Arabidopsis thaliana: one gene and its partner. The protein of the gene in region 2 interacts with the protein of the main gene of each other region in a pairwise test. Each region holds a gene or a part of one and is shown on either strand. Other genes may lie near its edges.

Region 1 (5,161 bases), on a different chromosome or scaffold from region 2:
TGCCAAAAAGCACATTAAGGCGTTGGAGCAGATCATATAAGGTTGTGCTCAATAATAGTGTATCTCGTCCATTTTGCAGCTGTTGTGAGTTGCGTTGCATTTTTCCTATCATCTTGAAGAGACTTGGAGCCTCACAAAAATACTGTTGCTCTCCTTATTGCGCTAATGCAATGAGTGTGAATTAAGATGTCTAGCGAGTGGGGTTTCCTTAAAGATTTCCTGTAACCATTTCTTTCACAAGTTCATTTCCATTATAAGTTGATTTCCTTAATGTATTATTTATCTAAGAATCTTGCAATTTTAGTTTGATACGATCTTGCTGTTTCAAATGCTTTCTGACATTCGTTTTCTACAAAATTTCACCTTGAAAATGAACAACACAATACTATCAGTCTTGCATTATCATGATTGTCAGCTTTTCGCTTCTTTCTCAACGTATTGTATAGTCTGTTTCAGGATCATTAGAAATAGTAAGAAAGTAAACCATTGTTGCAAGAAATCTTGGCAATGGCGTCTTCAAACAATTGTTGTTTCAGATTACTAACATAAAAACAGGGACTTCAGTTTTTATTAGGAACAGAGTTCCGATGTCTGAGAACCAGGACAGATGTTTTCTGCATAATTCATTTACAGTTAAAAACACATCTTGATTGATTCAACATGAAACCAAACACAGACTCCATTCATTATTATTCGCAGAATCTAGAGACCGAAATGAAAATGTTTTATCAACATGTACACACGTTTTAAGGCAAGCCAAGATTTGTGTCTTTCTTTTGAAAAGAAAAAAAAAAGAAATTAGATCTAAGAAACTTGCAATTTTAATTTGATATGATCAGCTGTTTCAAACAATTATGCCTTGTCTTTGGAATGAAGGATCTTTACTTACGCCGTTGTATTGAACATAATGCCAACTACTGGTTATTGCGCTATGTAATGCATATGAATCAAGATGTCCAGAGAGTGGGCTTTTCTTTTAGATTTCTTGTACCATTTCTTTTACATGTTCATTTCCATTATAATAAGTTGATTTCCTTCATGTATTATTTATCTATGAATGTTGCAATTTTGACTTTGACGATCTAGCTGTTTCAAACGTTAATATGAATATTAATTCCAAGATCTAGTGAATTAAAAAATAATTGAGATATCCAGCTCATAAAAAAATAGTTCAGAGTTTAAAAATGGATCCGAATCCAATGTTTTTAGATTTCTTTCATTTTCATTTTTTATATAAATAGTGCTAATTGATACGACTAAAGAATTAAAAATTGACTATTTTAAACTAGTGGTTCATTTTAATAAAATAATACTAATGATTGATATTGTAAAACTATTTTTCCGTTTACTTTTAAATAAGGTTTTGTGCTAACTCATCCATTTTGCAACTTTATTTTCTACCTCCAATAAATGCAGATTATTTTTATGAAGTCTAAAATAATACAAAATATGATCTTTATATATATATATATATTGTAAACGTTTTTACGGTTATATACATTAGATTTTTAAAATTTTGAAGGTAAAGTTAAATTCTTCTTCGCGAAAGTTTTAATTTAACATATTATTATCGATATTTTACAAAATTGTTGGTAACAAAAAAAAAGGCAAAAGAGGGTTATAATGCATATTATTTTATATTGTTAATGATTAATCTGTATTTGATGGAGGTAGAGGTTGAAGTTGCAAAAATGGATGAGGTATAGTGGTTTTTGCACAAAACCCTTAAAATACTTTAAAGATAATAATTTATTTTTTTGTATATCTAAGTTAAGTAATTGTAAATAAATATTAAACATTGTAACTAAAAATAAATAAATAAACATAATAAATAGAATGAATCATTTACTTGAGAGTTAGAAGATACATCAAAATGATAATCATAGAAAAAAACACCAAAACGATTGTTTATAAAATTAATTCAGTTGATGTAAATTATTAATTATTATAACTAACAAAATGCATGAAAAAACCGGCACGGTGCGGGTTTTGGGCCTAATTATTTTTTATTGTTAATGAAAGACCAATAAAACCAAAAGTCTAATAAAAAAATAATTTTGTAAGGGCATCGTTGAGGATTTGAGATTAACGCAGAGAAGACTTTTGAGAGAGAAAGGAGCTTAGCTTTGAGATTTCAGATCCAATCTTCTTTTTCATAAGAGCATCGTTGAAATTAAAGAGAGAAGACTTTTGAGAGAGAGAGAGAAACGTGAAAGAAACTTAGCTTTGAGATTTCATATCCAACTTCTTCTTCTTCAAAATCTCTTAGTAAACGACCATGGATTCTAAGGGAGTGTTAATGCCGTTGATCCACGAGCATCTTATGATGCCTTGGAAAAATCTGAAAAGAGGTCCTTGCTGTGGTTGCTGTGGACGCTTTGAAGCTATCAGTGATGGATACTACTGCAAAACCTGCGATTTTTTCGTCCGAAAAAATTGTGCTGACGAGCCCTCCGAATATATCAAGCATCCATCTCACCCCAAGCACACTCTTCAGCTGCTAAGACCTGAAAGACCTACTAATTTCTGCAATTTGTGTGGAAGGATGTGCCCAATATTCTATCGTTGTGATCTATGTGACTTCGACATGGATTTATACTGCTCAAAGTATCCACCACCAGAGGTTATTGACATTTCCAAGACGCATCACCACAGGCTTACCCTTCTCAAGAAGTGGATCAAGCAATGTATATGTGCTAAATGTTGCAAGATTATTGGTAATGAGTTTCCTTACAATTGTCATGAATGTGATTTATCCTTTCATGTGGATTGCGTATGGTATCCGCCCGAACTAGAACTCCGTTTAGAGGTAAACCATTCTTACCACTCTTTACACCCTCTTAAACTCTACGCAAAGGGTCAGTTACCGGATTATTCTGATGGGAAATGTCGTCTTTGCGCAAGAAAGATTGATGAAACATTTTTTTTCCATTGTTCTCCGTGTAACTTTACCTTGGACAAGGTTTGTGTTTTGCGCCCACCACAACAATCTCTTCTGAATTTGAAAGCTCATGATCACCAACTCACCCTTCTCCCAAAACTCGATTCTTTTACATGCAATGCTTGCGGGCTGAAGGGAGATCGTAGCCCTTACGTATGTTTTCAATGTGGTTTCATGATCCATCAAGACTGTCTTGGCCTTCCACGCCTCATCAACATTAACCGGCATGATCACCGTGTTTCTCGAACTTCTGTTCTTGGTGTTGTGAATTCTGTATGTGGAGTTTGTCGCAAAAAGGTGGACTGGTCTTATGGAGGTTTTTCTTGTCAGAGGTGTCATGGCTATGTTGTTCATTCAAAATGTGCTACTAGAAAAGATGTGTGGAATGGGAAAGAACTTGAAGGATTACCCGAAGAAACAGAAGATATAGAGCCATATGTGGTGATAGATGAAAACACAATACAACATTTTAGTCACAAAGAGCATTACCTAAGACTCAACGTTAATGGTGTTCTATGTGATGACAACAAGCGGTGCAAGGCATGCACCCATCCCATCTGTCTCCAGTCTTTCTACGGCTGTATGGATTGTAACTTCATTCTCCACCAAAACTGCGCTGGATTTCTTAGAATGAAATGGCATGTGCTACACAATGAACGTCTTACGTTGGTTACAAACAAGGATGAAGGCTTTAGGTGTTATGCTTGTGATAGATTGTCCAATGGTTTCAAGTACCAGCATGGGAATAAGGCATTCGATGTTCGGTGCATTTCAATTTCTGAGCCACATATCCATCCAAGTCATCCTAATCATCCCTTATATTACTTTCCATCAGACGAAGTACAATGGTGCACTGGTTGCAACATGGAGCAGGACTTTGTGCTTAGTTGCATTGAAGATAATTGTGGATTTTTATTATGCTTTGGATGCGCCACTTTACCACAAATGGTAAAGCATAGAGTTCATGATCATCCTCTCTCACTATGCTATGGCGAAAAGGCAAGTGGTAAATATTGGTGTGACATTTGTGAAAAAGAAACAAATCCACATACATGGTTCTATACGTGTAAAGATCATCAGGCTAGTTTGCATACAAAGTGTGTGCTTGGAGACCTTTCAAGTCTCATGCGAAGAAGCACAATAAAAATTGAGGGCACTTCATATGAGGTGGTGCTCAATAATAGTATATCTCGTCCATTTTGCAGCTGGTGTAAGATGCATTGTATTTTTCCTATCATCTTGAAGACACTTGGAGCCACGAATGAATACTCCTGCTCTCTTGAATGTGCAGAGTGTAGATATACAGACCGTTAAAGCCCAAAATGAAGCAAGATGTTTAGCGAGTCGAGGTTTTTCTTGTAATGTTATTTTTTTTCTTTCTTACGAGTTCATTTCCTTTATAAGTTGATTTCCTTAATGTATTAAATATCTAAGAATTTTCTGGCACCAAACTCCATATACAATGTGTGTGTTGTAACATATATCATATGAGGTGGTGCTCAATAATAGTTTATCTCGTCCATTTTGCATCTGGTGTGAGTTGCGTTGCATTTTTCCTATCATCTTGAAGATACTTGGACCCTCGGATGTTTAGCGAGTAGGCTTTTCTTTTAGATTTCTTGTACCATTTCTTTTACAAATTCATTTCCATTCTAAGAAGTTGATTTAATGGTACTTATGGCATGTATTAGTTATCTAAGAATCTTGGAATTTTAATTTGATATGATCAGCTGTTTCAAACGTGTTATGCCTTGTCTTTGGAATGAAGGATCTTACTTACGCCGTTGTATAGAACATTCTGCCATGCTACTGGTTATGGAGGTACCATTGAACGCTAATGTTTCAGATGGGATGCCATAGAAATTCACCCAACTGATCAAAGAGAACTTCTTAACTCAAGAATGTTGTGTCATCATCATTCCCACCAGTACTAAGATTGACATTTTTTGAAGAGCAAACTATAACCATGATAGACATTCAAGAAGATTCCCTAAGCATAATGTCAATGTGCATTCTGTTTCAGATCATTAGTAATAAAGTAAACCCTTGTTGCAAGAAGTCTTGGGCAATGGCGTCTTCAAAGCATACACATGACTGTTTCTTTCAGATCATCTGGTATTCAGAAACTACAATGCTTTGAAGACGCCATTGTAGCAAGTTCTGTGTGTAGACGAAGTAGCACGTTGTCGTCCACGTAACCAATCCCTTCACCAGAAAACA
Region 2 (3,930 bases):
CTAATCTCTATATCACTTTGACACAAAAAAATGAACTGTACAAAAACATGCCTATCTTCTCTCATTTCAAGCCTATGGTGTACAATAAGTTCATGTTGATCAGCACTTGTGTAGGGTAGAAAGCTAGCTAAAATCATCAGCTAAAAGTTTTGTTTTTGACTTAATGAAAAGGAGATCGATATCGAATGGTAAACATGTACTCAATACGAGGGAGGCTAGTCAACTTATGGAAGTTAACTTGAATTGTAGAAACTGTGTCTGATATCCTGTTGAATTGTGAATACATGGTGACTCTGGCAAGCATCATAAAATCATCAAATGACAATCTTCTGTCTATGTCGCTTCAGCAAGAAGAATCTAATGTTGGCTTGCCTGGAGGAAACGGCCAGCTTTTAACTCTCGGGGTGGGTCTGTTGGTTACTGCATTGGCTGGAACATATGTGACAAGCCTTGCAAAGGTAAACTCATACTTGTTTACTTCTTTTCTTTCTCTGTTCTGCGTTATATTTGCCTCCCACTTCTGATATCAAACCAACTGGTTCAAAGCTTCGTAGCATATAAGCTCAGAAAAGTCCCACATTTGGTTGAAACTTAAAAGATGTAAAGTGAAATGAATCTGTCTCATGTATATCTTTTACTTGCCGTGTGTTGCAGGATGCTATAAAGGATATTGATGATGATGAGAAGAGAGATGCAAAGTAGGAAACAAGCCAGCGATTGGATAATGGTTTTGACTCTCTAGGATTTGTAAAACGCCAACAGAGTATCATGTATCAACGTTAAATGTATTGCTCCATTATTGTTAATAGTTGATATATAATTCGAATCTTTTTTGTCCTTCAAATTTAAGCACCAATAATAAGTGAGAAAATGCTTTCTAGACAAAAAAAAGGAAAATGAGCCTCAGAAAATCAAATGTACTCGATAAAGTGAGCCTCAGCACACATTACAGCCAAATTCCCACCAAGAACGTAATTGATGATAAACAAAAAAAGTTTGAGATTTTATTTGGCAAAAGAATATAGCAAAGTAAAAAAGCCTCATCTGAGAGAGACTTAACAACTCAGAATCAATCCACCATCAGATTCACTTAGGCGCAGTAGATTCCTTCAAGTAGGCGATGAGATCAGCACGGTCTTGCGGCTTCTTTAGCCCAGGGAACACCATCTTGGTACCTGGTATGTACTGCATCATATAAAAAGGCCATCAATCTCAATGTTAACAACAACAACTCATGAAACAATCATGACATGATTATACAAACCTTCTTGGGGTTGAGCAAGTAATCGTACAAGGCCTTCTCTTCCCATTCCACAGCTTTGTTCTTGTTAGCAGCAGAGTAAGAGTAACCAGCAGTTGTACCAGATTGTCTTCCAAATAGACCGTTTAGATTGGGTCCTATATTAAAACAACAAGGTCAAGTGTTGAGCAACAATGTGACGCAAATCACATTCTACAAAAGCTACGAAAACAATAGAAACCATTGAGCAACAGTGTTTTCTAATTTCACGCAATTTCAAGAAAAAATGAGAATCTGTGACGCAACTAGCTCAAATCATTGTTGTATCATTACTTAGAATTCGAGAATCAAGTTCCACAAAAATGCGAAAAGTTGTATATAAAAACCTCAGAAATTCGTCACATGCATTGAGCTGAAGATTTAAGGATAAACACGAGTAAGACATCGAGGTTATTGGATCAGATCTATGATCTAATCGAAGAATCCGTTAACCAGATCACATCAGAGATTTTTGATTAACATGAACAAATCGATTATAAAGCGATGTAAAACAAAGGCCCGATAAAAATTCAGATAAATTGCGAAAATCAACCATAGAAATAGAATTCAAGAGTGAGAGAGATCGATGAGTGAAAACCTTGTTTGTGACCGGCGCCTGCTTCGACGGTGTGACACTGAGCACACTTGGTCCTGAAGATCTTCTCACCGGCCTTGGCGTTTCCTGGTGGTGCTTCATCAAACGACGCCATTTTTTTCGCTTGAGCTACGCGATCAGGAACAACAAGAGAAAATGATTACGGAACTCTCGTTTCTCTGGAGCTTGCCGAAGTTTCCTTAGGGTTTCACTGTGGAAAAAGTGACCTCTCTTAAAAAAGCAGTATCTCCAATCTTAATGGGCCCTTAATGGGTTTAGGTGGGCTCATATTTATTTCATATATAATGCTGTTTATGCTTGTTACTCATACTTGCGAAGGACCATCCCCTAGTTCATGTAAACTTATGTTTACAGGAAATCATGCAATTAAAACTTGTTGTATATAAGATTTATGTACAAATTGATTCTCCAGTTTGATAAAATATTTCTATCAGAATTTGATTCTTTATCCTACTTCTACAAGACGTTCTTCATCTGAACTTTGCTCCTGATTGATGACAGAATCATCGTTCATCGGCTTATTATTCTCTCCATCTAACTCCGAATCTGTTTCCATCAAAGCAAACTCATGAGCCTTTTGCACGCCCAAGTCACTCAGTAAAGTCTTCACCGTTACAAGCTTGCTCCAAGAACCAGTTACTGCATACATATCTGCAAGCAACATATAGTGACCTAAGTGTTCTGGCTTTGTTTCTAGTAGTAACTTATCTGCAGCCCACTCCCCAATGTTTGTGTTCCCGTGGATGAGGCACGCTTTCAGTAGAGTAGCACACATAGCACTTGATGGCTCGTAAGGTATTGTATGGAATATATCTCTGGCTTTATCCAGGTAACCTGCTCTGCAATAAAGATCAACCATACAAGAATAGTGTTCAAGGCGAAGGCGTATACCAAACACATGCTCCATCTTCGTAAACAACCAGTGTCCTTCACGCACTAAATTGGAATGGCTGCAAGCTGATAAAACTGCAACCATAGTTACATGATCAGGTTTGATACCGGATCTGTCCATATCCTTGAACCATGCCAATGCGACTTCTCCTTTACCCAGCCTGCCATATCCATCGATCAAAGAAGTGTATGTCACTTTGTCCCTCTTCCTCATCGAATCAAATACTCGCTTTGCAGCTATGATTTCACCGGATTTTGCATACATATCGACAAGGGAGTTCCACAGGATTAAACAGTCCTTGTAGCTTTGGCGTCTCAGGATGTAGCAGTGAAACTCTTTCCCATGTTGCAGGTTTCCCACCCGAGCAAAAAGAGGGAGAATGCTAGCAAGCGTAATGTGATTTGGGTGAAATCCAGAGAGCAACATCTCCTTGAGCAGGAAAGAGGTTTCTTCTGATCTCTCGTTGTATGCAAAACCGGAAATGATAGAATTCCATGTACTCAAACTATTTGCTTCAACCTGCTGAAACACTATAAACGCGTGCCTAAGATCACTGCATCTTGAGTACATTGTGATCAACGAATTCCGAACATTGTCAATATCATGGGAAAAACTACAACTACGGATCACAAGGCAATGAAATACTTTCCCCCACTTTAACGCTCCAATGTGTGAGCATGCCTTTAAACCATTAATCATAGCTACAGAACCTATTCTTACATTGCAATTTCTCATCCCAACAACACAATTCAAAGCCCCTATGTAATTTCCTGCCTCCAAACAACCTCCAGCTATTGTGTTCCAAGTTACAATACTCGCTTCGACACCAGAGAGATACATTCTATCAAGAAGCTTAAAAGCTTCCCCTAACTTTTCTTCTGAAGTATAACAGTTGATTATTGCATTCCATGAGACAGCATCCCTTTCAGACATCCTGTCAAACAATCTCCGAGCAACATCCACTTTACCAAATCTTTTATACATAGATATCAACGCGTTGCAGACATACAAGTTACACCTGTGAGAGCTAACCTCAATAGAGCCATGAACAACTCTCCCATATGCAAAATCCAGTAATGCTGCACAAGCCTTGATAACAGACGGGTAAGTAAATTCATCCGCTCTAATTCCTTTACTCATCAT

What was found.
Region 1: the proteins of CYTC-1 (region 2) and AT4G01920 interact in a two-hybrid assay, tested with the Arabidopsis thaliana proteins (one large-scale study listed by BioGRID).

Annotation. Positions count from the first base shown.
Region 1 is NC_003075.7:828,197-833,357, reverse strand, and holds AT4G01920 (Cysteine/Histidine-rich C1 domain family protein), read left to right. Parts: upstream 1-2,069; 5' UTR 2,070-2,278; coding exon 2,279-4,255; 3' UTR 4,256-4,532; downstream 4,533-5,161. Other genes in the region: AT4G01925 (Cysteine/Histidine-rich C1 domain family protein), read left to right, coding at 80-185; AT4G01915 (uncharacterized protein), read right to left, coding at 5,061-5,146.
Region 2 is NC_003070.9:8,077,443-8,081,372, reverse strand, and holds CYTC-1 (CYTOCHROME C-1), read right to left. Parts: upstream 2,087-3,930; 5' UTR 1,990-2,086; coding exon 1,878-1,989; intron 1,862-1,877; exon of another isoform or gene 1,399-1,861; coding exon 1,265-1,398; coding exon of another isoform or gene 1,261-1,264; intron 1,186-1,260; coding exon 1,087-1,185; 3' UTR 799-1,086; downstream 1-798. Other genes in the region: AT1G22850 (SNARE associated Golgi protein family), read left to right, coding at 348-458, 655-702; AT1G22830 (Tetratricopeptide repeat (TPR)-like superfamily protein), read right to left, coding at 2,341-3,930. UniProt on the Arabidopsis thaliana protein: Electron carrier protein. The oxidized form of the cytochrome c heme group can accept an electron from the heme group of the cytochrome c1 subunit of cytochrome reductase.